Linked DNA regions of Schizosaccharomyces pombe. Each later gene encodes a partner of the first gene's protein in a complex. Each region holds a gene or a part of one and is shown in the gene's direction. Other genes may lie near its edges.

The links.
Region 2: rik1 (region 1) and cul4 share a complex: the UniProt entries of both Schizosaccharomyces pombe proteins name them as parts of the clr4 methyltransferase complex.
Region 3: rik1 (region 1) and raf1 share a complex: the UniProt entries of both Schizosaccharomyces pombe proteins name them as parts of the clr4 methyltransferase complex.
Region 4: rik1 (region 1) and raf2 share a complex: the UniProt entries of both Schizosaccharomyces pombe proteins name them as parts of the clr4 methyltransferase complex.

What each region holds. Positions count from the first base shown.
Region 1 is NC_003421.2:1,464,933-1,474,054, forward strand, and holds rik1 (CLRC ubiquitin ligase complex WD repeat protein Rik1), read left to right. Parts: upstream 1-2,949; 5' UTR 2,950-3,241; coding exon 3,242-6,364; 3' UTR 6,365-6,848; coding exon of another isoform or gene 6,849-6,881; 3' UTR 6,882-6,924; downstream 6,925-9,122. Other genes in the region: translation initiation factor eIF2B alpha subunit Gcn3, read right to left, coding at 1-129, 226-668, 724-863, 921-1,074; SPOM_SPCC11E10.09C (alpha-amylase-like protein), read right to left, coding at 6,849-6,881, 6,925-7,368, 7,435-8,394. UniProt on the Schizosaccharomyces pombe protein: Component of the Clr4 methyltransferase complex (ClrC) which contributes to the establishment of heterochromatin by specifically methylating histone H3 to form H3K9me.
Region 2 is NC_003424.3:3,450,203-3,457,878, forward strand, and holds cul4 (CLRC complex subunit, cullin 4), read left to right. Parts: upstream 1-2,742; 5' UTR 2,743-2,853; coding exon 2,854-5,058; 3' UTR 5,059-5,545; downstream 5,546-7,676. Other genes in the region: nde1 (NADH dehydrogenase), read left to right, coding at 7,071-7,676. UniProt on the Schizosaccharomyces pombe protein: Required, indirectly, for activation of ribonucleotide reductase through the degradation of the protein spd1, thereby supplying deoxyribonucleotides for DNA replication and repair. Also has a role as a scaffold for assembling ubiquitin ligases.
Region 3 is NC_003421.2:98,346-106,142, reverse strand, and holds raf1 (CLRC ubiquitin ligase complex WD repeat subunit Raf1/Dos1), read left to right. Parts: upstream 1-3,878; 5' UTR 3,879-3,971; coding exon 3,972-5,888; 3' UTR 5,889-6,427; downstream 6,428-7,797. Other genes in the region: rhp7 (DNA repair protein), read right to left, coding at 1-358, 407-463; rhp16 (ATP-dependent helicase), read left to right, coding at 567-3,458; protein meu23, read left to right, coding at 6,658-7,422. UniProt on the Schizosaccharomyces pombe protein: Component of the Clr4 methyltransferase complex (ClrC) which contributes to the establishment of heterochromatin by specifically methylating histone H3 to form H3K9me.
Region 4 is NC_003421.2:498,436-505,354, forward strand, and holds raf2 (CLRC ubiquitin ligase complex subunit Raf2), read left to right. Parts: upstream 1-2,329; 5' UTR 2,330-2,423; coding exon 2,424-4,334; 3' UTR 4,335-4,445; downstream 4,446-6,919. Other genes in the region: kcs1 (inositol polyphosphate kinase), read right to left, coding at 1-1,331; erv29 (cargo receptor protein), read right to left, coding at 5,182-6,090. UniProt on the Schizosaccharomyces pombe protein: Component of the Clr4 methyltransferase complex (ClrC) which contributes to the establishment of heterochromatin by specifically methylating histone H3 to form H3K9me.

The sequences.
Region 1 (9,122 bases):
TCTGATGGAGTTGGAATTGGTTCAGGTTCAGGATGAACAGTTTCAGGAGATGGATCATCAAATTCCAGAATAGGACGACTAAAGGGAATATCATATTGAGAAAGGGGAAACATACGCACGAATTTATGACTAAAAAACGTTAGTACAAATTTTAAAATTAACAGGGAAATGGAGAGATCATAGGGAAAAATAATTGTAAGCTGAATGGATTCAACGTTTACGTACCTTTCTGCAACTGCGTAAAAGGGCTTATGTGCATGTTTGGCAAAAACGGCAAGTTGGAAAGTACCGATTTGATTAATGAGTCCTCCGTTTTCGACAACACCTTCTGCGCCAACCAAGACCAAATCTACACGGTTCATAGTAAAGCTTACAGCGGAATCCAAAACCATGCAAGTAGGAATACAAGCATTTTTTAATGTTCTCGTCATTAGACAGCCTGAGCCGCTAGGTCTTGATTCTGTGACAAAAACTTTGAAACGAACGTGACGCTTGGCAGCAGCCAAAAGAACAGCCGCAACACCGCGTGAAAACCCATGGGTAAGAATAACACTACCATCTCGAATAAGAGGGTAACCTAAATGTGCAATTCTTTGTCGACAAGCACGAGCACGCTGAATAAAGAGTTTTCCATTTTCTACCAAGTGACGTTTGCATTGCTCAAAATCCTAAAGCCGTGGAGAATTAGTAAAGAAAAGAAAACTACTTTGCATCAACACATACCCCGACATCGTGTAGTGATCGAGTGACAAACCGTTGGAAAATGTCACAACCAGCTGAAAGCGAAATGTTGTTTTGAACGCCTTCCTTCAGCGTATTTGAGCCATTTTGTAAAATGTCCATAAATTCTGAAATTGTCTTGGCTAATAGAAAAACATCAGTAAATTCATTTCTCACATGAGTACTACAAATTAACATACCTTGAGAGCGCGACAAAAGCTGGACTAAAGCCTCAATGGCGGCTACAGGCATCGTGATTTCTGGATCATCTTGCAAAAATTTTTTGTAAACCTGGACGATGTCAAATTCTCCTTGAGAATGTCGAACGATTCCCGAAGAATCCGATTCCACCATATTCGCAGATGCTAGACGCTCTTGCTTAGTAGCAACATCTTTTCCATACTTTAAGGATATCCAACAAAATCAAATAACGGGCAATGCCTTTTTGTATTAAATTGTAAGCTACGCAATTTGGTATCTGATTTAAGGATACGTAGAACTGCGGTGAGTTTTCCTTGTGATCTATTATATTACAATACACAGGTTGTATAAGTAGCAACTGAGTATAGGTATTGTATTAACTGAGTTATAATGTTACCTATCACTAATATAGCTCATAACTGAACTGAGGAACGAGGTTCAGCAGTAGCTCTATTTATATTATTCAGATAATATAGATCTTAATAGATTATCATTAAGATCAATCTCAATATCGTATCATACATGGTACGATATATAATTAGAACATGTGACATATAGTGATACGCAACGTAGATGATGCGATGTCGAGATTGATATTGATAATACTATATTAACAGATAGATTATTTGGATAGAATCGATAGAGATACAACTAAACCTCATTTCGCAGTTCAGTTATAAGTGATAGGTGACATTATAACCTAAATAGTACAATACCAGTACTTAGTCATTACTTATATAACCCGGCTATTATAATATAATGGATCATATGCAAAATTCACCAGTTTTTCGTATCGTTAAAGCAGATACCAAACTGCGTAGCTGACATTATACGGCGTTTTGGATACTGATCTACAGATATGTTCCTATAGATATTTATGTAGGTGATTTGAATGGTATTTACATATAAATTGGTTTATTAAATAGCTTATATTTAATTAAAGCTAAATATTGAGAATAATTTTAATATCATATTCTTGACTGAGTACATCTGAGGATAATCATGAAATTCTTCCTCGGTGATCAGTAAACAATGCTTGACTGTTGATTTCCAATATGTAACGTTCAACGATACTTATCATTGTATAGATAGTGAATTTGTAGTATAATTTACTATGTTCCTAATAGTTGAGCGTATCATGAACGAAATATGTCAAAACGCTTCCATTTTAAAAAAAAAGGAGTACTGATGAAAGCAGTAATTGGATTTGGTAAAAAGTAATATAGAAAGTTTTTTAAAAAACTATTTTATGTTTAAGAGACCTTTCAAAAGTTCATGACCATTTCTACGAGAAACTAATCTTTAGTCCAACCTTCGTAAATCTCGCTTATATTAAGCTTGATTTTACTTCGGTATTTATGGATGACGCGAACACTAAACTGGTATAGAAAAAACGCTATTACTTTCAGCATCTAAAGAAAATCATTTATGATAATTTCTATGCTTTCAATTATATCTAAATATTTACATGCTCAATCATTCAAAGCGATGCTACAAAAATATTATGTTTTAGTTGTCGACTCGAATTTCAGTAAAATCCTAACTTTATTGCTAGACATCCGTAGGTTTTCATTTATGCTATAAATCTGTGAATCACCTCGTGATCGGCAAGTTGTTAAAATAATCTTTTAAGTAACTCTAATACCATGCACTATAGTAAAGAAGGTATATATTTCTTTGCGTGCCTAGTTCTTGTTTTCAATAGCAATAGTCGTTATCTCCCATAGCTTTTAATTCTGCTCATCGATGAGAGTAACATATTCCAATATCTTCTCTACATTATCAAATCGTTTTGCAATTATAAAAATATCAATAGCTTTCGATTTCCCCCAATATGGCTAATGCTAAAATTTATAACATTGATGTAGAATTTGGCTTAGTTAAGATGCAAGTTGAAAATGTCTTATGTTTTATGATTATCAGAAAATGTTTTGTGTAGTATCTGATATTAAAAAATGCATATCAACTTTTACAATAAATTCGCTTGCGCAAAATGTATAGAGACTGCATATCTCGTTTCTTCTCCCTGCGGAGTGCCTGTAACTGGCGTCTTGCACTTTCATTCAAAATCGAAATTTTTTGGTAAGGATTTGATAGAGATTGTCACTTGGTAGCATATTTTTTCTATCTTGAATTCCTTTTTCTAGGCTTTTGTGGCTCTTGGCCGTCCACTCTTTATTTTTGTATTCAACTGTTTTTTAATCACATAAGTCTAGTCATAATCTTTTGAACCAACTCAAAGCTTCTTTTTTTTATTTTTTTCTTTGTTAAAAAAAGTCTTTATTCCTTTTATTATATCAGTTTATGGATTTCATCGTGTATGGCTTTATGTGTTCATTCCTTCTGGGCAACGGCGGTAGACACAGCGACTTCATGTCATTTTATATCATCTGAAAACTGCTTAGTTTTATTACAAGCCTTAAAAATTAATATTTATCTCTGTAGTGAGGTTCATGGCTTACAATTCTTTACCTCTATCCCTTTATTTTCTACGGTGAAACATATACGCCCATATCGCCCTCCAGGATTAGATAGAGACTATTTATTTGTAGTTCTCAATGATGATACTTATTTTTCGATTTATTGGGACGAGGATTATCAAAAAGTGATCGTCGACCATCCTCCAGTTCGCTATCGAGTTACATTTCCTTGGAATCGCAACGCGAAAAGCTACTGCCTTGTCGACTTAAGGATGCGTGCTATTTTTTTAAGCATTGACGAAATTTCCATGATATGTATTAGAATCCTTTCTGCCGAAGAACGGTTGAAAACTGGCCGTTCTATAGATAGCGGATTTCCTTTTTCTTTTCCAGTGCATCTCATATATGATATGTGCATTCTCAATGATTCCAGTACCCCAACTCTTGTGGTCCTTCACAGCGATGGCTTAGATTGTTATGTAACAGCTTTTCTTTTAGATTTAAGCTCAAAAAGTTTGGGAAAGGGGATTAGACTATTTGAGCGGGTTAAACCGTCAATGATCATGCCCTTTGGAAAAAGAGGTTTGCTGGTTTTTGAGAGTTTGTTTATTCATTGCATGTATCGCGGTAATTTTGTTACAATCAATGGTCCTTGTACTACTTATATGCATTGGACTCCTTTGAAAGGGCAAAAGATGCATTATATTGTTTGTGATACTAATGGATATCTTTTCGGAGTATATTCGAGTATCTTGGGAAAAAACAAATGGAGCTTGGTTATGGAAAGACTACCAATCCCACCTTTCGACTTTATTACTTCTCTAAATTCCATCCATGAGGGACTCTTGTTTATCGGAAGCAAAAATTCGGAATCTAAACTTATTAACCTGTCTACTTTGAAGGATGTTGACTCAATACCCAACTTAGGACCCATTCATGATTTACTAGTACTCAAAAACGACATTGAAAAAAGTTTCCTTGTATGCGCAGGAACACCAAGAAACGCTTCTTTAATTTATTTTCAACATGCTCTGAAATTAGATATTTTAGGGCAGACGAAAATCTCGGGCATCCTTCGAGCTATGGTCCTACCATCATATCCAGAGCATAAGCTCTTCCTCGGGTTTCCTAGTGAAACTGTTGCTTTTAATATCAAAGAAGATTTCCAGTTAGAGCTAGACCCATCTCTATCAACCAAAGAAAGGACGATTGCGCTTTCAGGGACGAATGGTGAGTTTGTACAAGTCACATCTACTTTTCTTTGTATCTACGATTCTGCAAAGCGCTCTCGTTTAGTTTATATTGAAAAAATCACGAACGCTGCTTGCTATCAAGAATACTCCGCAATCGTTATCAATGGAACAGCATTGGCAATATTTAAAAAAGATACAGAAGTTGCACGAAAAGTTTTTGAAAGTGAAATTTCTTGCCTTGATTTTTCAGCGCAATTTCAAATAGGAGTTGGATTTTGGTCTAAGCAGGTGATGATACTTACATTCTCAGATAATTCGTCAATTAGCTGCGCCTTTCAAACCAACGTTCCATCATTGCCCAGAAATATTATTTTAGAAGGAGTTGGTGTTGACAGAAATCTTCTTTTAGTTTCTAGCGGAAGTGGTGAATTTAAATCTTATGTACTTTTCAAAAATAATCTGGTATTCTCTGAAACAAAACATTTCGGTACAACCCCTGTATCGTTTAGGAGATTTACGATGAATATTGGTACCTATATCATATGCAACAATGACTGTCCACACATGGTATATGGGTTTAATGGAGCACTATGTTATATGCCGCTTAGTATGCCTCAAAGTTATGATGTGTGTCAGTTTCGTGATAACTCAGGGAAGGATTTTCTCATTTCTGTATCATTAGGGGGCTTGAAATTCCTTCAACTTAATCCATTGCCAGAATTGACCCCAAGAAAAGTACTTTTGGAGCATGTTCCGTTACAAGCCATTATTTTTCAAAATAAACTGTTGCTTAGAACACTCGAGAATAGATATGAAGATTACGAAAGTTACAAGGAAAATTATCACTTGGAGTTGGTCGATAGTTATGATGATAATTCGTTCAGGGTTTTTTCTTTTACCGAAAATGAACGTTGTGAGAAAGTTTTGAAGATTAATGAGAGTTCTTTACTTGTAGGAACAAGCATTATAGAACAAGATAAGTTGGTGCCGGTAAATGGAAGATTAATTTTGTTAGAGTTTGAAAAGGAGCTTCAGTCTTTGAAGGTAGTTTCGTCTATGGTACTATCTGCGGCCGTGATAGATCTGGGGGTATATAATGATCGATACATCGTTGCATTTGGGCAACAAGTTGCAATCGTTAAACTTACCGAGGAAAGGCTTATGATAGATTCTAGGATATCACTAGGTTCTATAGTTTTACAACTCATCGTAGAGGGTAACGAGATTGCTATAGCGGACAGTATTGGACGTTTTACGATTATGTACTTCGATGGCCAAAAGTTTATTGTCGTTGCCAGATACCTTTTTGGAGAAAACATTGTGAAAGCAGCATTATATGAAGGAACAGTTTATATAATAGCAACTAATAGTGGCTTGCTAAAACTTCTTCGTTATAACAAAGATGCAAAAAACTTTAATGACAGATTCATTTGTGAAAGTGTGTACCATCTGCATGATAAAGTTAGCAAATTTCAAAATTTCCCAATAACAAATACCAATTCGTTTTTAGAGCCAAAAATGCTTTTTGCAACGGAAATTGGTGCTATTGGGAGTATAGTATCATTAAAAGATAAGGAGCTAGAACTGGAGGAACTTACAAGAAAAATTCGAAAATTAAAATTTTCATACTTGTCATCTATGGACTACGAAAGTATAGAAGCAGACCTCATTTCTCCAGTCCCGTTTATTGATGGAGACTTGGTTATCGATGTCAAAAGATGGGCATCTTCAGAACTTTTCCGATTATGCAGAAGTGTAGAACATAGGGAATCACTCAATTCTTACCAAAAAGTTCAAGCCCTCCTTGAGGAAATACAAAGTTTATGTTAAACGTATTATTGCCTTTTTGCTCTGAGTTATTATCTTACACTTTATGGATCATTGCAAATTTGGAAGTTTGGTTCTAGGACTGTATTATGCATTTGTGAGTAATACAAAAAAAATCTTTTGATTTATAATTATAAGTCACAAGCTGTCGCAACATGGCACTGATAAATACAAGTACATAAAGCTTGGTTAAAAAGTTATCAGTCTCAATTTCTTTCGTAAAATCTTCTTCGAAATTCAAGATATTTGTCATAATTGTTGCATCGCTCATCTATCTAAGACGAGATGACATATATTCTGGATTTCAATAATTAAAATGAAACTATTAAATTTCATATGACAGAAACTGAGCACTTCAACTGGCATAAAAGCTCAAAGGAATTTTTTAAGCTAAAAAATTAAAAAAAAACTTTCTCCATTTGGCGATCACGTGTTGCCAAGTATTTTTGGAGTGTAATTAAACTGGAGAAACTCTAGTGTAATTTCTCTATAGGAAGCTAGGGTCAGAGGAAATTAGGATCTTAAAAATTGTTAGTAGAATAAAACATGAACTAAATGCTTACCTTTGGCAAGCCACTTTTTGATTTGATCTTCAGTTTATGGTCTTTACAGGGGATGGTTTTCTGAGTAAGAATATCTGTAAAACTTGAAGGCACTTCTTTCCAGTGTTCTTTCAAATCTATTTCAACTTTAAACGACGAGGTAGAGCCTTCATTGCTTATGGCTATAATGACTCCTGGACGAGTAAATACATAAACTGAATCGTCAATGTATAGTTGAAAAGATAGCACGTATGTAAACTCTGGGTAGGTCTCAACCAAATTTTGACGCGTGCGTATCATTGAAGAAAGATGTCTAAACATTGGATTGGAAGTATTGTATTTACTTTTCCAAAGACCTTCTCTGTTGTCAGGATCGCTACCACCGTCAAACATCTGTTCTTGTCCATAATAGATAATTGGAATACCGTCCATGAAAATAAGTGCAGTTAATGCGTTAAGAGCCAGCTAAATAAATGTTAAAATATATAAAAAATGCAGGTACTAAATTGAAATATTGTTCAATAGACTTACGGCGATGTCTTTGGTTTCATGAAAAAAGCGAGGAAAATCATGATTTTCCAAAAAGTTACACAAGACGGTAACATCTTTGAAGTAATGTCGAACATCAAGTACGGCCTTATCATAAAATGAAAACATAGAATGTTTGGGGTCAAGAAAGGTTTCCCGCAATTGAAAAAATAAAGGGAAATTTAAAGTCGAAGGGAGATATTTTTGATAATCCCCGACGACTTTAGGATCTCCATGAAAAACTTCTCCTGTAGTAAATACATTAGCTGCTTCAATAAATGTTGGGAAGAAGGATTTTTCGACATGTTTGGCTGTGTCCAATCTGATACCATCAAATTGATAACGTTTAATTAGATCAGAAACCCAATTTTGAAAAAATTTGCGAACTTCATTCTTTTCGGTTCGAATGTCTGGTAGGTTCACATGTGAATCTCCTAACCAACCTGTAATTGTCTCATGGGGATCATCGTAATTTTGTACAAACTGCCAGTTGTGATAATACTTCCCAGAGTTAAATGGTTGATAAAGTAAGAAGTTTACGGGTTTGCTTCCGGCATGACCCATATGGTTGACAACTATGTCAACCATGCAAAGCATATTTTTCTCATGAATTGCATTGACTAGTTCTTTCAAATCTTCTTCTGTCCCAAAATTCTCGTTTAACTGAGTCATATCTTGTGCCCAATACCCATGATATGCCTGACCACAATCCGTAGTCTCAGATATGTTTTTAACTATTGGGCTAATCCATATTGCCGTACATCCCAGACTTTTAATGTAATCAAGGTTACGAGTAATACCCTTCCATGTACCCCCAAGGTAAAGATTTCCGCTAGCTTTTGCATAAAAATTATCCTCATCCAAAGCAAATCTGTCCGTTAATACCTGGTATATAACTTGCTTTCGCCATAATTTAAGGTAGGAAGGTTCTTTTTTCGGCAGAATGGAGCAGATTAGATTCATAGTCCCTTTTCGTCAAGTAAACAACATTCACTGGTAACTGTCTCGTTTACAATGCAGCTTTAAATCAAGCCTTCAGCTACGCCTTCGTCTGGATCGCTTCTTCAGCCTTGCTTACTGATCAACAAAGAGTCTTCTTCTCGAAATCTTCCCTTTCAGTACAAATTTAAAAAAGTATCCGAGATTCGTACAGAATTTGTTTTACTTTTCAAAAAGGGACGTTTGCTAAAACCGACACTCTCACTTAAAGGTTATAGTCTTTTGGCTGCTTTTATTAAGAGCCAAAAATATAGTAAGAATATTGAAATACAGAGGGTCTTAAATACTCCGCCTTTCGGTTCCGACGATTGCGGCTTTTTTTTTTTAATTTCAACGCTTTTCGGCTTTTGTTTACATTCAACTTGTACTAAACAAAACAAGTTAACACATTATAAGGCATGCATCGTTAAGTAAATAGTAACGATGGTAGTTGGAAAAGGTGTATGTGCTGGGTTTGTTGACATTTCAAACCTACTGCAAATGCGCATGTAAAGCAGAGAAAAACAGTGTTTTATACTGCGTAAATATTCTTAAACTCGCTTGTAGTTTGTTAACTGACATTATATTTGATTTAGTTATTTTCTGTATGCTTTTCTTCACTTGGTAATAACAGAAATGAAAAAATGTATTCAAAATACAGCATTATTGTCAAAAGAAGACGAAAACTCAAAAATTTTTTTAAGTTAAAAGAC
Region 2 (7,676 bases), on another chromosome or scaffold:
TAACTGCGGCAGAAGGAGCACGCGATGGTCGACGACTGCGCGATTCGGAAACATTGTCAGATAAGAGTCCATTTCTCGTATCACTACTGCTTTCATTGTTCTCGTTGTAAAATGGAACTATACCAGGCCTGGGTATGTTATCATCCTCACTTTCACTGTCCCCAATATTAGTAAGAACTTGTTCACGACGACGGCGTTCTACACTATTTTCACGCAAATGAGATTCCGAATTTTGCCTTGAGTATCTAGGCCTATGATTCTCAATAGAACTCTCAATATGTCCAAGAGTGGGTTCCCTTTGTCTTTCGTCGTCCGGCTCATGTAAATTACGTTGAAAAGTATCATAGGAACGTCGTAAGAAACTGCGAAACTTGCGACCAAAACTTTTTGCCTTCGGATCCCCTTGAGCGAGTTTTTCATCAATTGAAGGTCCATTTGCATCTCGAGAACTGGTATGCGAAATAATGTTTCCTTGAGAATCTTCAACGACCAAGTCTTCGCCAATAAGATATGTCTCGTCACCAGGATTCATTTCTTCTTCTCTATCTTCCTCATTCGAGCGGCGAGGTTGCCGAGATTCATAGTCTTCAGAAGGAAATTCTTCAGCGTCATAGTGGCCTCCGCGTGGTGATTCAGCACGTTCTTCCCGTAGATGTGCGGCTTCAGGAAGCGAGACAGTTGATATATCAGCATCCTCATCTTCTTGAATGTTTACAGGATGACGCCTTCTTATGGAAGAAGCAATAGAGTTGGCAGAGGAGCGCAACGCATCAACTCTTTTAATTGGTAAGCTTTGTCCTTGACGAACACGAGGTAAGTTAAAAGCAAAATGAGAGTCCCTTGTTCTCGTAAACGACAAAGCCAACGTATTAATCCTTTTACCAAGCATGAAAAATGCAATACTGCTTCCATGAACAATGATAGAACTTAGAACCAGGAAACAAACTACTGGCCACATTACTTGTATGCAATACCAGTTTGGAATTTCAGGGTTTTCGATAGCATCATTAGGCTCAGGTACAGTGCTATGTACTTCTAATTCGGCTCGTGCAACCAAACAAGTATACAGTGCACCTACACCAATAGGACCAAAATGACCAGCAAAGAGAGCTTCTCGCCAATTGATAATATCAGGAACAAATGATTTAAATAATAAAACGGCAGGAATTCTCCTTGCAATTAAAATACATATAGCCAATACAACGAGTCGCCATACACTCAAATCCATATGTGGCATGTGAAATTGAGGCCAGGGCATGATAGCACCCACGTATACAAAAAAGGAAAGATTGAGAAGAAGGTCGATAACGTTGGAAACATGAGATTCTTCTGTTTTTTTCGAAAACCATGAGTCCCAAGAGAAAGCAGCACCAGCACAAAAAGAAACTAACAAATCATCGACACCAATGATGGTACCAATACCACCACAAAATAGTGCTAAAACGAAGTAGAATACAAGAAAACTTTCACGATCCATTAATCCTCGACGTTCCGAAAATTTAATCATCTTACGGGCTATTACACCTATTATTGCACCTAGCACACAGCCAAAGGTGCATTCGTATAAAATAATGATACATACCCAATCGCGGCCAGCATGTCGGGCAGGTTTCTCAATAATTAAATAAATAGCTAAATACAGAAAAGGAATTGCCATGCCATCATTACATCCAGATTCGGCCAAAAGCATGTTCCTAAGATGACCTGGGACTCGACGTGCAAATTTACCTTTACCGACAATAGAAGAAGCCAACACTGGATCTGTCGCAGTAATACATGCCGCTATAGCTAATGACTCCAGAAAAGAGAGTCTGGGAATTAAAGCATACATGAAGCCAGTACTTACTAGCCATCCAAAAATCATAACAGGCAAAAGCATAACAAACATACTGCGCCAATGTCGAAGCATATATGCTCTTGGAAGTTCAGCGCCAGCTGCAAAAACTTCGACAACTAAAAGGACTCGAGCAAGTTCCTCGGTGATGTAGTCGGTATTACCCCAGCTGGTGGGAACAAACAGTTTTGCAACGTAAGGACCAAAAATGAGACCCGTAGCAGTTGCCATAGCTATATTAAGTTAGTATGCTTCACATATATGAAGAATTGAAGAGTAAAAATAATATGGTGGAATATGCACACTGAAATATCTAGAGATCGCTCTTTATTTAACGAACGTAAACCGAAAGAATAATCTGGAATTACTACCAGCTAAATCAAACAATTCAAGTATCGTTTCAACACGCAAATCAAACAATTGTGCTTTGCAACCACTAATAACTTACTTGCTTCGCCCAAAAAAAGCTTTTCCTTAATAATTAAAGAACATAACATAAATAATGAAGTAAATCCTCCTATAATAGCATATGCTAGATGTGGTTTGGAAATCTCGACTTGACTCCATGCCATTCTCTTTCCAAGTCAACCTGACCTTGTAATTTCAAACCTATATAAACAAAAAGACAAATAAAAAACTTTATAGAAACTATAGAGAAGCTAATAGTTTACTCAAGCACCCAATTGTTTCAACAACTGGCGTTCGTTGTGGATAGTGGAGGATAAACATGGAAAACAATAGTTAGCTAATTGCAATGAGTCGCAGCTTGAAAATCTCTAAAAAACTGAAGAATTTCTAAAGTGAAAAAAAAGGCTTATTTAGTGAGATGGACACAAAAAAATAGCTTGAAAGTGAAATAGGAACTTCGTACCTTGTCTATATGTGCTGCTCTAAACCGACTTTTCTGAACGTCACTACTTGAGCACAAAATTGGTTTTTGCAGGTGAAACTATAGTAGTGAAAGAGCTCAGGCTTTCCACACATCTATTTATTACTTTTTATTTCACATTAGCACACCTATGCCTCCAGAAGCAAAACGTATCGTGGTTAAAGGCTTTGACCCACGAAAGTCGAGGCAAAGACAAGAGACCTACTATGTGACGATGATAGATCGTTTGAACATGGCTTTGCAAGTAGTGATGGCCGGTTTAGGCTTAAAAACAGGTTACCAAGAGTTATATTCGGGAGTCGAAAATTTAACAAGAGCGGATCAAGCATCTCGGTGCTTTAACATCCTACAACATCATATGTCTTCAGGAATCCAGCTTTTAAAGGATTCTGCGGAGTCTTTTATACAGCTTGAAGGGACTGAAACAGACACTAATGCATGCACCGTAGTAGTAGGGTGTTGGAACAAATGGTTGGAAAGAGTCGAGATTGTTCAAAACATATTCTATTACATGGACAAAACATTTCTTTCTCACCATCCAGATTACCCGACAATCGAAGAGCTGTCTCTGTCACTTTTTCGTGAAAAGTTGATGGCAGTCAAAAACATACAAATTCCCTTTTTGAACTCTCTTCTCCAAAGCTTTGAAAATTTACATAGCTCTAAAAGCACTGATCACGCCTATTTACAGGATGCGATGTTAATGCTACATCGCACGGAAATGTATAGCTCTGTGTTTGTTCCCATGTACTTAGTTATGCTAAGCCGTTTTTATGATACGGAGTCTAGCCAAAAAATTCAAGAGCTGCCTTTGGAAGAGTACTTGGAATATGCGATGAGTTCGCTTGAGCGGGAGGATGCCTACGTTGAAAAGTTTGATATTGTGCGCGATAAAAAGTCCATTCGAGAGACTGTTCAAAGGTGTCTAATTACTTCACATCTTGACACACTCACAAAGGGTATAAGTCAGTTCATTGAAAAAAGGGATGCCCATTCTTGTAAACTACTGTATGCATTACTGCAATTCAATCATGAAACCGAATATTTAATTCAGCCCTGGTCGGATTGCTTAGTGGACGTTGGTTTCAAGCTCGTTAACGATGAATCAAAGGATGATACTTTGGTTCAAGAGCTGTTATCGTTCCACAAATTCTTACAAGTCGTGGTGGATGAAAGTTTCCTTCATGATGAAACCCTTTCGTATGCCATGCGAAAAGCCTTCGAGACGTTCATTAATGGGGCAAAGGGATCTCAAAGAGAAGCTCCAGCTAGGCTTATTGCAAAATACATTGATTATTTGCTACGAGTTGGCGAACAGGCTTCAGGGGGTAAGCCTCTGAAAGAAGTATTTTCGGAAATTTTGGATCTTTTCCGCTACATCGCTAGTAAAGATATCTTTGAGGCGTATTACAAGCTGGACATTGCAAAACGGCTTCTCCTTAATAAATCTGCAAGTGCGCAAAATGAATTAATGCTTCTGGATATGCTTAAGAAAACCTGCGGTAGTCAGTTTACTCACTCTTTGGAGGGTATGTTTCGAGACGTTAACATTTCAAAAGAATTTACTTCTTCTTTTCGTCACTCAAAGGCTGCTCATAACCTTCATAGAGATTTGTATGTTAACGTCTTGTCCCAAGCTTACTGGCCCTCTTATCCAGAATCACATATCCGGCTTCCAGATGATATGCAACAGGATTTGGATTGTTTTGAAAAATTTTACCTTTCAAAGCAGGTTGGGAAAAAAATCAGTTGGTACGCTTCGCTAGGACATTGCATCGTAAAAGCCCGATTTCCACTGGGCAATAAGGAACTAAGTATATCGCTTTTCCAAGCCTGTGTCTTACTTCAATTCAACAATTGTTTGGGTGGAGAAGGGATTTCGTATCAAGATTTGAAAAAATCTACAGAGCTCTCTGATATCGATTTGACTCGTACATTACAGTCCTTGAGTTGTGCTCGCATTCGGCCATTAGTGATGGTTCCCAAAAGCAAAAAACCCAGTCCAGACACCATGTTTTATGTTAATGAAAAGTTTACAGATAAGTTATATCGTGTAAAAATTAACCAAATTTATTTAAAGGAAGAGCGGCAAGAAAATTCTGATGTTCAAGAACAAGTAGTGAGAGATCGACAGTTTGAGTTGCAAGCCAGTATCGTTCGAGTAATGAAACAAAAGGAAAAAATGAAGCATGACGATTTAGTTCAATACGTTATAAACAATGTTAAGGATCGGGGAATACCCTTGGTGTCTGATGTGAAAACTGCCATTGAAAAACTACTAGAGAAAGAGTATCTAGAACGCGAGGATAATGATATTTATACATATGTCACCTAATAGAGTATGCATTTGTTTTTTAATTGATTTAATTTAATTTTTCTGGTTATATGTTTATTCTTTTTCCATCCTTTTTGTTATTTGCTGGTGAATCTCCAGTGGATTTTTTTTCTCTATTCTCATATGTCGTTCATACACACACCTCTTTACCTGTCCGTGTCAAGTAATGCTATTGAAATCTGGAAACCAATTCAAGGAAGTCTGCACTGCTCTCCAATCAGTTTGGAAAAGGAACAATTCCAAAGTTCATTCTAAAATTGTACCTTGCATTTTTGCCTTCTACGAAAGTGTTCGCGCTAAGTACCGCATTTTCCAATGTAAGGATTAACATGGATGGAATGTGGTGCTGCTTATCACACTTATAGAACACCTTTATTTACAAAATCTAAAGTAAAAATTTAATAAATCTAATTAATTTTGTAAAGCCCAAGGTATTCTATTTTGGTTTTCCTGCCCATAAACACCTCTTATATTATTCATTATTTACATCTCTAAGTGACAGTGATGTGTGTGTTACTTGATGTAGATGTAGCTGAAACACGTGTTTGTTTGGATGTATTCAGAACCAACATCAAAACACTCCTATGTAAGCAATAAATTGAATAAGTTGAAGTATTTGGCGTAGGAAATTGGGACATTTAGCGTTATTGATTCTCTAAGCTTCTTGATCAGTTCTAGGTGAAAGCAAATAAACGGTATCTTCTGTTTTGTCCGTCACGAATTCCCTCATAAGAATGGAGTGACATAGTTAAAACGAGAAGGAATTTACCATTGATTCTAGTTTGCTTGATCTTCTTTGATTATATAACCTAGCTTCTCACCTACACATCTACCCCAGCATGCTTCTAACAGACTAAACACAAATCAAAAGCGATGCGCGCGCGTCCTGTCTTCATTAACGTTGTCTAAAGTGTATTACTGTATTATTAGATAACGCGGTTGGTATTTTTTGCTGTCAGATTTTGCGAGCTTGGTGTTAGATCACGTTATACGTCTCTTTATAATGACATGGCTCCTCTAGATGCAATGAGGGAATTTTCGGTTACGCCGCTGCGCATGCATAGAGTTTGTGAAAAAGTTGCACCCCACAATCCCCTGTGACCATGACTAAAGGTAGAACCTTTTTTGAGGTGAAGCAACTGTATATGAGTTTTTGAAACTATCGGTTTTGTAGGTGTTTTTGAGCGTCTCTATTTATTTACATTGCTAATCGAAGTCAAGAAACAACAATGTCCGGTATGTTGTAGCGGACGCGGCTGGAATCGCTGAATGGTCGCTCCCTCTTTCACAGAGGCGGGCCATGAATCGCTGTGCAGATACATGTCGTCAGCGTTACGGGAGTCATCATTAAAAGTCCGCAAACGGATCCGCCCGTACAATTTATCAAAATAGTCTCGCTCGTGTATTAAATTGTCGTTAAAATACCCTGTCCGACTTTGACAACTACCATTACACCTACCGCTCATTTTTTACCATTTGGCTGTACTGATTGATTACCTACAAGGATATCATATCAGCCTTTGGAAAATACGTTTTATTAAATCGACGCTTATCTGCGCAATCGTCGAGTGTATAAAAGGAGCACACTTACATAGCTGAGTACGCCGTAAGTGTTGTACTTGGTTTATTATATTTTTTTTTCTTTTTCTTTGTAGTTTGCTTCTCTTCGGAGTCACTTTAACCACCCCCTCCCAACTCAACTTAATTATTCAGTCTTTGCGGCCTCTGTTGATCCTATCCATTTCTTCAACTGACCGAATATTATTTTACCCCTGATATATTTTCTTTGTTGTTAAAATAAAGACCCATTTCTTCATCTTTTAAAAATCTCCCCTCTTAAGGCTTTTCAAGCAAACAGTTGATATCCACAATTTTTTTAACTTTCCTTGATTGTGTTTGTGGATAACTTATTACCCCCCTCTCTCTCCCCTCTTCTTTGTGTATTTTTATCACATAATAAGTTAGCATCTTTTTTTGTTTCTCTCGAAGTTTTCTAGTAGTTGCTTGTTAGTATGCTTTTTTCTCGGTCTATTCTCCGAGGAATGCCAAAGGCTGGCATTCCAAAATCTCCCTTAGCTTTATCGGCTTCTCGCAATCTTCGCCTTGCAAACAGCGTGCGCTTTGCTTCCGATGCTGCTTCTTCTCCCAAGAGCACCACAAGTAAGTGGAAGATCCTGAAACGTACTACATTAGGTCTTTTCGCTACGGCTGTTGTTCTTTATGGTGCCAATGTCTACCGTTTCCGTCATCCTGATCCTCATCAACCTTTGCCCGATCCTTCCAAAAAGACTTTGGTCGTCCTTGGTGCTGGTTGGGGTGCCACTTCTATTCTTCGTACTATTGATACTTCTCTCTTTAACGTTATCGTTGTTTCCCCTAGAAACTATTTCTTGTTCACTTCTCTTTTGCCTTCTACTGCCACTGGTTCCGTTCATACTCGAAGCATTGTACAGCCCATTCGTTATATGCTCCGTCATAAGTCCTGCTATGTTAAATTTTACGAGGCTGAATGTACAGACGTCGATGCCGACAAAAAGGTCATCCATATCAAGAAAACCACCACTGATGGAGTCGATTTAGAGCAGGAAATCAAGTATGATTATCTTGTTTGCTCTCAC
Region 3 (7,797 bases), 1.4 Mb from region 1:
TGCTGTATGGGGTTATTGTAAAGCGACAATTACAGTGTGCGCAAAAATCTAGTTTGCCCGTATGCTCCCTTGCTTTATAAGAAAACCCAGCTCTTGAATTCATTGAAAAAGTGTCCTCGTTGTCTTCAGCTTCTTCATCCGTTTTCTTCTTCTTTTTTTGATTTCGTAGATTTCGTCGTTTCACTACTGGTATCTCAATTGTCGTTGTCGACATCGAGTTTTCATCTTCGTTGTTTTCTTCAACAGAAGTCGGTGTTTGAATAACTTCTGATTCTGTCCCAGTCGATTGCCCTGCTGACTCCTCGCTTTGACGAGGAGGACGAGCACGTCCTAATGCTGAAGCATTGATACCTTGAGACTGAATAATGCATTAGTAACTCCGAGCTAAGAAAGAGTCATCACATACTCTTAAAAATTCTGTTAAAGCAGAATTTGGCCCTCTCACCCGACTTCCACTTGACATTTTAAAGAAATCCTTAGTATGCTGAGGATAAGGTGGAAGTGTGGTTGAGTTTAATTAAATCGCTTCAGATCGCGTGGCAACTTGTCTCATACCAACCACTACTATGCATATATCTACTCTAAAAGTGGACCAATTACAAAATGAAGCTGTAGATATTAATTCAAACGATACAATTGATTCCATAAATTGGAAAAATACTCGCAATAACCATACTACTCAGGCGTCTCTTCAAGCAGACAATAATGATGAGCAAAGTAATGGGCAGGCTCCATTTTCTACTACTTATTCAGAGATAAATAACATTCATGATGTACCAGGCAATCAAGATGAATGGTCATCTTCTCCCATTGCGGGCATTATTGTAGAAAGTGAAGATGAGGAAGTGGTTGAAAACAATTTACATTCACAAATGGGGACGTCATGTAATAAAATAAACTCGAATAGTAATAAGGGAAAAGAAAATATGCATTTTGTTCTAGATGATAATGGTGATTCAAAGGGGAATGCTTCAAATCAACAAGTCGAGCGTGACGACAAGTTAGATATGGAGACAACGCGCTGGAACGGAAAAGAGTTTGAAGAACCTCTGTCAACAAACAAAAAATTGATTATCCAGTCAAACAACACCTCATCTCAACATTCGACACCCCCATTATCCATTTCTGATACCAGTACACACACCGGTAGCAGCACAGACAATGTAGAAGCAAATCCCAATACAGGTTTTTCTAGTGCCAGAAAACGTTCATTAAGGTCCTCGAATTTGAAAAAAAAGTTTGTGCCATTGTCATCTCCAGAAGAATCTAATGAATCCGAATTTATTGATGATGATGAAAGTGATGAAGTTGCTAGCATAATTGATATCAAAGAGGATGAAACTTTTGATAGTAAAGTAGAAATTCCAGAAGCTGCTCCAAGTTCTTCTACGGAAAGTGATGAAGAGTCAATCCCTTTAAGTTACCAGTCCAAACGAAGGAGGGTATCCGCTAGGGCTTCTTCTTCCGCGTCCTCTTCCTCTAGAACACAAGCAAAATCAATTCCATCACATGAAAGAACCCATTATCGTCTGATTCGACAACATCCTGAACTAGAACATGTTTGGGAGAAATTGGAAGAAGAAGCACCTCGTGAAGTGAAACAGATCGAGCAACCCAAAGAGTTGGTCCTAAACCTTCTCCCTTTTCAACGAGAAGGTGTATATTGGTTAAAACGACAAGAAGATTCCTCTTTTGGTGGAGGAATCTTGGCCGATGAAATGGGTATGGGTAAGACTATTCAAACAATTGCGTTGTTGCTTTCAGAACCTCGAGGTAAGCCAACCTTGGTTGTTGCTCCGGTTGTAGCAATTATGCAATGGAAAGAAGAGATTGATACACATACCAATAAAGCACTGAGTACATATCTTTATTATGGCCAGGCTCGTGATATTTCAGGAGAAGAGCTTTCGAGCTATGATGTTGTACTAACGAGTTACAATGTAATTGAATCAGTTTACAGGAAGGAACGCAGCGGATTCAGAAGGAAAAACGGTGTTGTAAAAGAAAAGTCATTACTTCATCAAATGGAGTTTTACCGAATTATACTTGATGAGGCCCATGGTATCAAATCAAGGACTTGTAACACTGCCAGAGCTGTTTGTGGCTTAAGAACGACAAGAAAGATATGTCTTTCAGGAACACCTTTGCAAAACCGTATTGGAGAATTATTTTCACTTCTTCGGTTCCTACGGGCAGATCCTTTTGCTTACTACTATTGCTTGCAATGTGAATGTAAATCTCTGCACTGGAGATTTTCCGATAGAAGTAATTGCGACGAATGCGGCCATAAACCAATGAGTCATACTTGCTATTTTAACGCTGAAATGCTAAAACCAATACAAAAGTTTGGATACGAAGGTCCAGGAAAGCTAGCTTTTAAAAAGGTGCATTCTTTATTAAAACACATTATGTTACGTCGAACAAAATTAGAGAGGGCTGATGACCTTGGATTACCTCCTCGAGTCGTTGAAGTGAGGAAAGATTTATTCAACGAAGAAGAGGAAGATGTATACCAATCTTTATATATGGATTCAAAAAGAAAATTTAATACATATCTTGCTGAAGGTGTCGTTTTGAATAATTATGCAAACATTTTCCAGCTAATTACACGAATGCGCCAAATGGCAGATCATCCTGACCTGGTGTTAGCTAGCAAACGAAAAACAGTTGATATTGAAAATCAGGAAAATATCGTCTGTAAGATTTGTGACGAAGTCGCTCAAGATGCTATAGAATCACGTTGCCATCACACATTTTGTCGACTCTGCGTTACGGAATATATCAATGCAGCTGGTGATGGAGAAAATGTCAACTGTCCAAGTTGTTTCATTCCCTTAAGCATAGATCTTAGTGCCCCTGCTTTAGAAGATTTTTCTGAAGAGAAGTTTAAGAATGCATCGATTTTGAATAGAATTGATATGAATAGTTGGCGTTCATCTACAAAAATTGAAGCATTAGTTGAGGAGCTTTACTTACTTCGTAAGAAGGACCGAACACTGAAGTCGATTGTTTTCTCTCAATTTACTTCTATGTTAGATCTCATTCATTGGCGACTTCGAAAAGCCGGGTTTAATTGTGTAAAGCTAGATGGTGGTATGACCCCCAAAGCGAGAGCAGCTACTATTGAGGCTTTCAGTAACGATATTAATATTACCATTTTTCTAGTTTCGTTGAAAGCAGGTGGTGTTGCTTTGAACCTTACAGAGGCATCTCAAGTGTTTATGATGGATCCTTGGTGGAATGGAGCTGTACAGTGGCAGGCAATGGATCGAATTCATCGTATTGGACAAAAAAGGCCGATAAAAGTAATTACCCTGTGTATTGAAAATTCCATTGAAAGCAAAATTATTGAACTACAAGAAAAGAAAGCTCAGATGATACATGCAACCATAGATCAAGACGAAAAGGCTTTGAACCAGCTTTCTGTCGAGGATATGCAATTCTTGTTCTCAAATTAGAATTTTGTTTTTTTAAAATTAGCCCAAATTTTGGCCGTTTCCTTTTTATATACCTGCCATATCTCCCTTTGCATTTTTTTTGTTATCCTAGTTTTTTGGACCGTAATTCCCTAAGTCAGTATATGCGTTTTGGAAGTTTATTTATTTTTTTGGGGATTCCTATTAATGGATATAATTTATTATTGAGTTGTCAATAGAACGGTTAAAGTTTTTTAAAACAAATTAAACATAGTTAAGATTTTATCGCTTCAATGTAAAGTCATTAACTTACCTTTGACTGATAAATTTGTAATAATAGTAACTCAATAGATAATCATTATATCTTCAATTTTAATATAATATTTTCGATTTTGGAATGTCTTTATACTTTTTGGACTTAGTAAATTCTTTATATCAATCAGTGCCTTAAACTCACTCAGCAACCCATAACTTCTGTTAAACTAGTGAACTTGCACACTGAAGGATTAAAAGTAAAAAGCCCAATAATTTCTCAAACAATTTCCTATTTATGGCATGACTAATAGTTCACCACGGGTGAAAAGAAGAACGGATACGCAATATTTGCATTCCGTCTCTTCTAAATTGCCCAAGGTTGACTTTGACACAAATAACGAAGAATTTTTTGAGGAAGAATTTGAGATTTATGATCCTTTTTATCGCGCAGAGCTACCTTGCCCGAAACCGTCATTATCAATATCGAAGCATTCAATTGCAAAAGTTCCATCAAATGTAAATAAACGATTAGAATTGCAACTTTTACTAACGTCTGGGACATTCTTACCTAATTCACGTCCTTATTTGAGTGAAAGAGTGAGAAAACACACTCATTTACTTTCAAATAGCATTACAGGCGATGATAAACCATCACTCATTCATGTTGATTTTACACCAGAGGAATGCTTTATTTTACAAGAAGCTAAACTAAAATTTGGACCGGTAAACAGTGTTCAGTTCAATGATGCTTATTCGACCCACATTTCTCCAAAACTTCCTGGACGAGCATATGAAGATTGCCAGAAATTTGAAATTGATAACCCCAGCTTGTCTCCTGTGGACAAACATGGGGCCATCATTTTACGAACATACAAGAAGAATAAAAAATTACTTCCAGATTACTTAAAATCCTTTTACAATGCAGGCTCATCTTACTTCCAAAGAGAACAAGTTCATCAACTTATGGACGGGGAATCAGTTTTCTTTTTAAAACCTTGGAAACATTTCAATGAAACTAGTGGGGATACAGTGTGCGTTGCATATAATCCATTGTGCGAAAAATTTGCCTTAGGCAGCACAGCACAAGATGGTGCTTACAATAGACTAGGCAACTTATGGATTGGTGATTTTCACTCAGAAACTATTCAGTCATTGGAAAGCCATTATAAACTTAATCAAGTAGGAGAAAAGGAATACTCTACGATATCAGATTTGTGTTTTTCCAAGGGTAATCTGTTTCTTTATACAGGTGCATTCGACAATGCTGTGAAAGTCTGGGATATGGAAGGAAATTTATGTGGGATTTTTAATGCACCCACAGACTATATTCACAAGCTTGCTCTATCTGATGACGATTTACTTGCAGTAGCTTGCAAAAATGGTTATGGGTATTTATTGAGCACTGACAACTCAACAGGAGAAATTCTCACATCAGCTAATTTAATTTATCCAGAAGCTCTAGAAAAAGGGTACTCTGCATCTTTGATTGAATTTTCCAATTTTTTGGGAAGGTCATCTGACAAAGTCATTATTGGATATGATAGTTTTCATACTTCTAATAACAGAGGATGTTTGGCTCTGTTTGATGCTTCCACTGCCAGCTTCGTTCAAAAATTCAACACCGCTGACGAAGCATTTACCTCCTTATATATGCATCCTTCTCAAGTTGGATTTGTCGCAAGTAGCAATACTTTGAGCAATGGAAGAGTATATTATTTAGACACAAGAATGTATAAGGTTTGTCTCAACTTTACGACAACGCAAAAAGACATTAACCATGCCACCATAAGTAACTCTGGAATCTTGGTAACTTCTAGTGGTACAGATAACCAGACGTTTGTTTGGGATTCGCGTAAACCAGATAAACCTCTTAGCTTGCTTAAGCATGGAAAAACCAAAATGATACATTTTGACGGGGCTAATGAAGAGGAAGTCGATGCAGGTATAAATATGGCACAATGGCAGCCTAAGGGGAATTTGTTCGTTACCGGAGGCAGTGATGGCATTGTAAAGGTTTGGGATTTGAGATTGAACAATCCATTCATACAAAATTTTACGGAAATGAATTCAGCCATAACTTACGGAGGGTTCAGTGAGGATGCTTCAAAGCTAACCGTATGTTGTGTTGGAGGGGACGTCAATATGTACAGTTTGGGGAATGACAATGGTAATAAATTCGGAGAGTTTCGTATTATAGAAAATCGACTTTTAACCTGAATTGAGGTTTAAATACGAAAAGGTATATGTAAAGATGATCAGTCAATGGAGATTCGCGCTAAGAAAAATTTTCTTTATTAGACGACTAGGATACAGAGAAGGTATAAAAGAAATAATGCTCAGCTAGTATGAATATTTAATCGAATTCCTTTTCGTGGGTGAACTGGCAAGAAAATTAAAGACAGCGATCGATCCGAGAAATATTTAAGAACTGAAGAAGGCCAAAAATTTTGCAATGATTCTAAAGGATAATGGAAAATTAAACCTTAATCTCAGTGAAGGTAAAGTCAAGCTGATTATTGAATTGACGTTTACAGCAAGAAAATTTTAATAATATCTAATATGTTTCTTTAATGATCAACTGACTGGTTTGATAACTCAAAAGCAAAACATAGTAACAAACAAATGAGCTTTCACGGTTAAAGGATGAAAAATGTGTTACAAATTAAATTAAAATATCAAACATAGATAAATTTAAGTTTAGCTTAGACCCGAAACTCTTAATGTTAACAGAAATGGAGATTTTTTATGGAATGTTGAATTAACTCTTCAAGCAAACGTAATTAGTTAACTTGAAAACATGCCGTTAACAAAAACCATAATTTAATCATCAACTCACCTTTTCAATTTAAAAAAATGATGAACAACTACCGGAAGCTTTTTTGTTTACAGCTTTGGTGTTTACATATTCATGTACCACTACACTTGGCTGCACCCAGCTTGCTATTCGCGTTACTACTAAACAATATTAATTTGTAAACAATAAATTATGCCTAATACTGAAAGTGAATTGAACGAGGAATTTTCTAATGAATTTAATATTCCTCCACCAACTGAATCCTCTTCAAAGGAGGGAAATAGATTTTTAAACGACTTTCGAGTTGAATTCGAGAAAAGAAGAATAGAAGCGAGAAATAGAATATTAGAGAGTGAGGGAAGGGCCCTTGAGAACAAAACTCACCTGAATGAAGAGGAGATTCGTACAAATGAGCGCGTAAAAAGGTTTCAACGTCGAGTGGATGAGTGGACCGCGTTGGAAATTGAGAGAGAAAGCCAAGTTCAACCGCCACTTTGGTACCAAAGAGACCGCGAGGAGCAGAATAGGACTCTCAACTTTTTAATGAGCGGTATGGCAGATTTACAAAGAACCATAAATACTATGCAAGGGACCATGAACACTATGCAAGGGACCATGAACACCATGCAAGAAAATATGATTAATTTCACAAATAAGGTCAATACTCTCGATATGCGTTCAGTTCGTGCGGAAAATAGAGATCTTAGGAAGGGTGCATACGTGATTTCGCCTGTTCCCTTTATTAATGGTAATAATCCGGACCCTGATTTGCCTCCAATTACTTCAGTTCAAGATGTAGATCGGTTGTCTAGGAGTCAATGTTCTCGATATTTACAGGGCTATGGGGTAACTTTTCATGTAAACGAAACTATTGGGATGAAGAAGAAACTTGCTAGCGCGGTCGGCCTATCGGCAGAGTATGACAGAGAGTATCCTTTTTCTGGATTTCCTAATTAGCGATTCTGGCAGAAAAGTACTCGACGAAAATTAATCGCTTATATTTTTTTACTATTTATTCACGTGTATTATTATATTGGAAATGTATATAATTATTGGGAGTGAAACGTTCAAGAGTTCAACCCAGCTACTTATAACTCTTGTTTACCTGATGTTGAATAATCTTGAATCTTTGTGATTGTTGAATTAAAAAGCATACCGAAAGCAAAGCATTCAAATTAGGTGATTTGTGAGGTAAAATTTTTAAGATAAGATGCCATGGGCTTGCATATTTAATTTTTAAAAAATGATGTTTGCATAAAGACGATAACATACTGTCTTCGAAAATCCGTTTTATGAGAAATCTGAAGTTAATATAAGTTAACCGCTCTTGAT
Region 4 (6,919 bases), 970 kb from region 1:
GATTTGGGGCTTCCATAAGAATGAGATCTTTTGTCGGGAAGCATCCATTCAGGAAAAATATGACGGTTTTGCTCAACACTAACCTCTGGAATGTATCCATAGTCTTTTTTCTGATAACAGCTGTTAAATGTGTGTTTATGGGGGGCAGGTGTTTTAGACGATGATTCTGTATTGACATATTCCGTAGTAGAATCGTTTTCTTCTGTTTTAGTAATAGTATGAGTCACATTTAAAACACCAATATACTTTGGGATAAAGGGAAGCAATTCTGGATGGCAAGCTTCAATAGTTTCATAAAACGTATTTTCATTTCTTGTAAGTGGTTTGCAAACGGCTCTTTTAGAAAACCGGAAGAAAGCCGTATGTCCACCGACTTGATGTTTGAAGGGTTCCAATCGTACAGTAACCGGATAATCAACATTCCAATGGAAAAAAGGATGGTCTTCAGGAGGAGATGATGAGACAGATGATACAGATGATCGCGGGGTGGATGCAGGACTTTGATAAGAACGGGATACCGACCTTTCAAGCTCAAACGAAGCATCAGGTAGTAAAGGGAGGTGTTGAGATGACTTTTTAGAAGGATTATGTGGTATGTAGGTGGCTGTGGTTTTAGAACTACCACTATCTTTTCTTCGTTTAGGAGCTGAGCTCCGACCACGAGATGATCTTCGACTTAGTGATGTATCTTTTTCGGAAATAACTTCATCTAAATCATGCTGAGCACCAACACTTGGTGATCCAGATTTGGAGAGCCTTTCAGAAACAGATTCAAGAGGACTCGACACGTTGTGCAAAGCAGTATTAGTACTGTTACCGGTTTCTAAGTTATTGGAGGTAGAAGACTCAAAGAGACGTAATGACCTGCTTGCCTTTCGAGACGGATGAGCAGAATGAGCACTTGCCATATCATCAGCTTCAGAAACGGCTGAAGACTGCAGCACCGGTACTGGTGATTCAGCAACTGAATAAGAGGAACCACCTAATTGCAAGTCAGCTAGACTCTTGTGAATTGAATCACTCATATATTCAACAGGGGTGTGTGTTCTCAAAGGGGTTTGTTCTTGTGAATTACTTCTTGTTAAAATTAAGCGAGGGACATCTTCCAAGCTCGTAGTTCGAGGGTCTACAGCAGATGAATAGTTACTTAGCCTTCTAGGCGATAAACTGTCTAATGACTTAGGACCTATGGATTCAGAATGCATAGTAAAATTATTGTTATCTTCTGATTCATCGTACAAGCATTTTAACGTTTCAGGACCTCGATCATGAAAATTCACGTCTCTGCCTTTACGTGAATTCGGCAGGTAACACTTTGGTGCGTTCTGCATAAATTCATAAGTTTATCTCTATTAAATTAATATTTTTCCTTAATTCCCCTTCAATTCCTCCAATTTGTCCGATTTTTATTAGTTTACCTTTCGCAGAGACCCGCTTTGGTTCTTGGCAAGTTTCTTACTTTGCTCTAGCTTACAGTATAATGAGGCGTATAGTGAAACTACTTAAATTCATTATTGTCAGCAATACTACACTACGCTATGATACACTACGTTGCGTATCACTATATGTCATATGTTGGAATACTAGCTAAGATCCGTTTATTGATAATCACGGGTAACTATCCGTCTATATACGTAGATACCCGTTGATAACAACTATTTAGAAATATTATAAATAGCGTTACAACTGAACTGAGGAACGAGGTTCAGTTATGAGCTATATTAGTGATAGGTAACATTATAACCCAGTTAATACAATACCTATACTCAGTTGCTACTTATACAACCTGCGTATTGTAATATAATAGATCACAAGGAAAACTCACCGCAGTTCTACGTATCCTTAAATCAGATACCAAACTGCGTAGCTTACAATTATTCTACTCTAAAGATCCACATAATAATACACCGTATCTGTCATTAAATTACGCATTGTGTCAGCTATGCAATCATTAAAACACTTAATGATACTTTAGAACTGCGGTGGGTTTTCCTAATATAAAAAATAATGTTAAATAAAATTCTGTTTTCTATACAATAATAAATATATCAAAATATTAAGAGATATCGTATAGTATTATATGTGCACTAAAATAGTTTACAATCAGCTGAGGAGTACAAATCAAACTTCATCAATATTTTTCTAATTAAAGAATAAGTACTTTAGAAGCAACGTATGTTCACGGCCGAAAGAAATGTTGGTAAAACACAATTATAGGTATAGTGATTGTTAACGTATCGTAAGTATAACGCACTAGACGTTAATTATATATTTGTGCAGTACAATGGATACCCTTCTCTTAAATTTCAGAAGCAGAGATCAGAAATTTAACACCAATGTTTACCTCAAAAATATGCCGTCTATAGTAATAGGCAATATTACTTCGAAGAGTATTGTTTTTGGGGAAAAGGAAAAAGCTAGCGATGCCGCCCGTACGTGCTGAAAAAAAGCGGAAAACTGATTTGATTGAACAAGTTTGCGTTACAAATAAAGCAGGGGAATTAGTAGATTTAGAGGACGTTCTAGAATATGGCCCTTATTCATTAACAGGAATTTTATCTTCTGAAAAGGATGAGCAAGAACCATTGTTTGATGAGAGCATTGTTCTGGGATACTCGATAAAAATATCGCCTGTTTGGACATACAATCTAAAAGACGTTCCTGAGAAAGAAACTATGAGCATATGGATCGTTACACCTCAAAGAAGATACGGAATTTTGTCTCCTTCTTCTGAGTATAAAGCCATTTACGAACAGATCAGCGAGAAGAATCGATTGTTTTACCTTATTAAGACAAAATTCAAAGATGATATGATATCTGGTACGTTAGAAGATTACGATAATTATATCGAAGTTTTAAAGGAAAAGCTAGAGCTTCCTTCTTGTTTTCAAGCAATTCTCTTAGTGCAAAAACATATTCGCTTTCTGTTAACCCAAATGGTTGCGACTTCTTCATTACATGTATGGTCTGAATCACCTTTTTTTATAAGAATTCGATCTTCATACGAACATCTGATTTTACAAATTAATAAAAACATTTACAATGCTCGTCAAGAGCGAAAGAAATCAAAGTTATCGTCAAACAATCCATCGGACAATAATACTACTATGAAAAGCTCTTTAAACCAAGCTCTTACTTTAATTAATTTACCCGAGCAACCGTTTAGCATTTCCTCTCCCACAGCAACACCACAACTAGGAGTTGTAAAAAGAACTTCTCCATTACGGTTTCCTTTGAATGATATTTGGCTTTCCGGTTTAAGGATTGTTGATCCAAATATTGAATCGATATCATTATGGAAAAGAATACAAGTTTCAACCTCTCCGAAGCATCAACGTTATATTAGCCTTCAAGAAGTTTGCAGCGTTATTGCTCAACAGCTACAAATAACAAATTTGGAAGCTTTGAATAAACTTTCTTCCCACGGCGAAACCCTTTTGCAAATTATGCATACTGCTTTCACGTGGAGAGGTACTAAGCTTTTTAATGATATTAAGCACGCAATTGGTTTTAGATCTTCTGTTCAACAAGCACGATCTCAATTCCGTGGATATTGTTATGATTATTTATTCATGCATTGTAACAATGGAGAAAAAACAAGTCTACATCTCTTGAGGACTCTAATATGCATGAAACTAGATTTCTCAAATGCTCAATTGGCGGCCAAGATATTATTTCATTTCTTGTTATTTGATATTGGATCAGGCCTTTCTGGCTCAGATTATACATATGAACAATACATTAATCACTCAGCTGTCGCTTTCAGTTTTACGGAGGAAATTTTTGAAAAAAATTTTGTTACAGTTCTTCCTGACTTTGTTAAACTTTTTTCTATTTCTTTTGGTTATTGGCCTGCATTCAGCTTCTATGATGAATTATTGAAATTACTTCGCAACAAATATCCCAAAGTATATTCATCAACTCCAAATTTATGCGATCAGGTATGGCTGGATCGAACAAATTTATTCCCTTGTAATAGGTCAACGAGGTCGACTTTACCGTATAGACCTACAAAACTGCTCGATTTAGCTTCCGCATCTTCCTGCTTATCCAAAAAGGAAACAGATTTTAAACAAGACACTGGATTATATTCATATAACTTGGAGAAAGTTGAGGCTTTAAAAGTTAGTCCGGATTTACAGACTGGTATTTGGTCATGTCCAGTACAAAATTGTTTGTATTTTGCTGTTTGTGACAACCCGTATAAACCTTCTCAGGTCATTTACGATCATCTTTTAGGACATGTAGATTCCAAGTTTATATTTAAAACTCCTTCGAACAGTGTCCGATCGTTTACAAATAAACTTGAACACATAATGTACAACATAAATTAATGATAGATATGATGATTTTTACTAGTAATTAACAAAAGACACACTGCATTAAAGTTAATATATAGTATGTTTATAAAGGATTACAATTTTACATGGCTAATGTCAAATACACTTTACTTTACAAATATCATGTGTTCATAAACAATTTCAAAAACACATTTTGTAACAACAATTTGATACGCTTATAAATGTGCCTATTAAAGTGTACAAATAGCTGAATTATTTGTCAAATGTAATATAGGACGATCAAACAAAATCAAACACCAACCCTTTACAATTGTAAAGTTAATGGCCGTTCAAAATACCAGAACCCATTTTTGATAATAACTGAGACCAAGCGATAAAATAAAAACAGAGGAATGTAAACGCCAAGAACTACTAAATGTTCATGCGTAAGGAAAACGAGCAAAAAACGAGTATTTATTTTAGAAAAGAGCAATACTATTAAAAAATTGTTCCAGAAAATACGGACCATACGCGACGATTACCCATCTTTTTGGTTTTGTAAACGTAAATAGAATCATCTAATCATGAATCAGTAGGAGCAAACATGAGTATGATGAGGCTCACTTCTTTGACATAAAAAAATTAATGTGATAGGATAATATCCTAAATTCGATCCCACTCATAGATAGAAGAAAGTGTAATTTCAACTCTAATACAAGAATGGAGCCAAAGTAAACAAAGGAATGTACAAATAGGCAAGATCCTGTGAAAGAAAAGTACCTGTAAAATAAGGATTTTATGATATAAAAGGACAAGGTTGACAAATTAAATCAAATCATAAAAAAATTAAAAAATAAAACAACATTTTCATTTTTTTTTAAGAAACACGCAGTATTTTGGCTTAATAAATCTTTTTCTTTTCATCAACGGAAAACTTGCCCGGTCCAGTGTTGACGAGATATAGGAGACCACCAACAATAGACAAGGTTTGGAAAAAGTCGTAACGATAAAAGTCACGATAGGGACTTTCACGAGGAACCGACCAGAAGCTGTTGATAATGAAATTGGCAACAGATAGAATAAGAACGAGGACTGCAGCGAAGAATTTAGCCTTAAAACCAATGACCACCATGGCACAGGCTGTAACAGACAAAATATGAACTAGAATTCGAGTCCAAGAAATCCCACTTCCTTCCTTAGCCAAAAGACCCAAAAACATAAAGATCAAAAGAACACGCCCAGCTAGTTGGAAATAAGTACGTTTATTGTGTTCGGAGACGGCCGGTAAACCTGCAAATCTATTGATACGACGATGAATAAAGGTGTCACTGGCAACAAGGCATAATCCACCGATCACGCTCATGTTACGAAAGAACATTTCACCACTGGTGATGAGCCCATATGCAAACGCTTGTAAAAGTGTAACAAACAAAAGAGAGCCGATGGCATATGCCTGACGCTTTTTAAACACGACCAATGTCGAACCAACCAACATCAGTACAACACAAACAAACAGCAGCAACGGAGCAGTCCCAAAACGAAATCTGCGGTAGTCCCGCATATAAGATACTTGTTCAGGCCATTGAGTAACGATCCGAATAGCGTCTTCGAAATAAGTAGCGACAATTAGGAATCGACCCAAGAGCGGCATATACGGAGTAAATGGTGCCATGAACGTTTCAGCTTGCTCCATAAACTGACATGCTCGCTCTGAAAATGTCTTTTTTCTGATACCCACAGTAGTCCTTGTTTGATATGAATCCTGGTTCATAGAAAGCGGGATTGTCGAAAACGGCGAACGTGAAGTCATCTTTTCAGCTCGTATTAATTCGGGGTTTTTTTGGTGTCTATAAATATTTAATCCTTAAACTTCAAATATCTCTTAGAAATAACTTGATAAGGCCAACTTCCAGTTTCCTCAATTCAACCTCTTGTATGGAGAAGCGCAAGTTTGTCTCTTCCTTTGTTGCTCCTTATGGCCTGTTGGCATGCAGTCGTCATCCAGGGCAAACCAGAATTTCCTAAAAGGACAGCATTACAATTTGATGAATTTGGGATAATTTAAATAATTCTATGATCCTTATTTTTTTTATTTTTATTGAGATTCCTGAATATTCTTCAACCTCTACACTGATTTTTTATTTTAAGGCTCGCTATTAAGCGCAAATTGGTTTAGTGTAGTCTAAGAAATTATTACCTCTTGCAGTGAGTTAAAGAATGGGATATTTAGGAGAGCCAAAGACTTATGAAAGCTGCTTTGTAATGATTTTTAAAGCTTGAAAATATAGGTTTAAATTTTAGAAACTATATTTGGATGGCGTTCGGATGTAGTTTGAAAATTAACATGAGTCGTTAATTGATCACATTTATTGATGAAAAGCAAAAATAAATTAATAAAAGGCCCCATTTCCATATCACAAATGAATACTTTCAAGTTAGTGTCATAATTAAATGAATTTAGTGGAAGTTAAGTTTTATGTGTGTGATATTTACACTTGACATTACAAAAGCTATTACTTTCTTAGCAAGAGTCGTTGTAATGAACATTTGTAAAAACTTTATACAAACAAAATTTTAAAGAAGGGTATCGTATATAGGTCAAATACGTGAGTTAAGTTCAAATCTCAATATAGTCATTT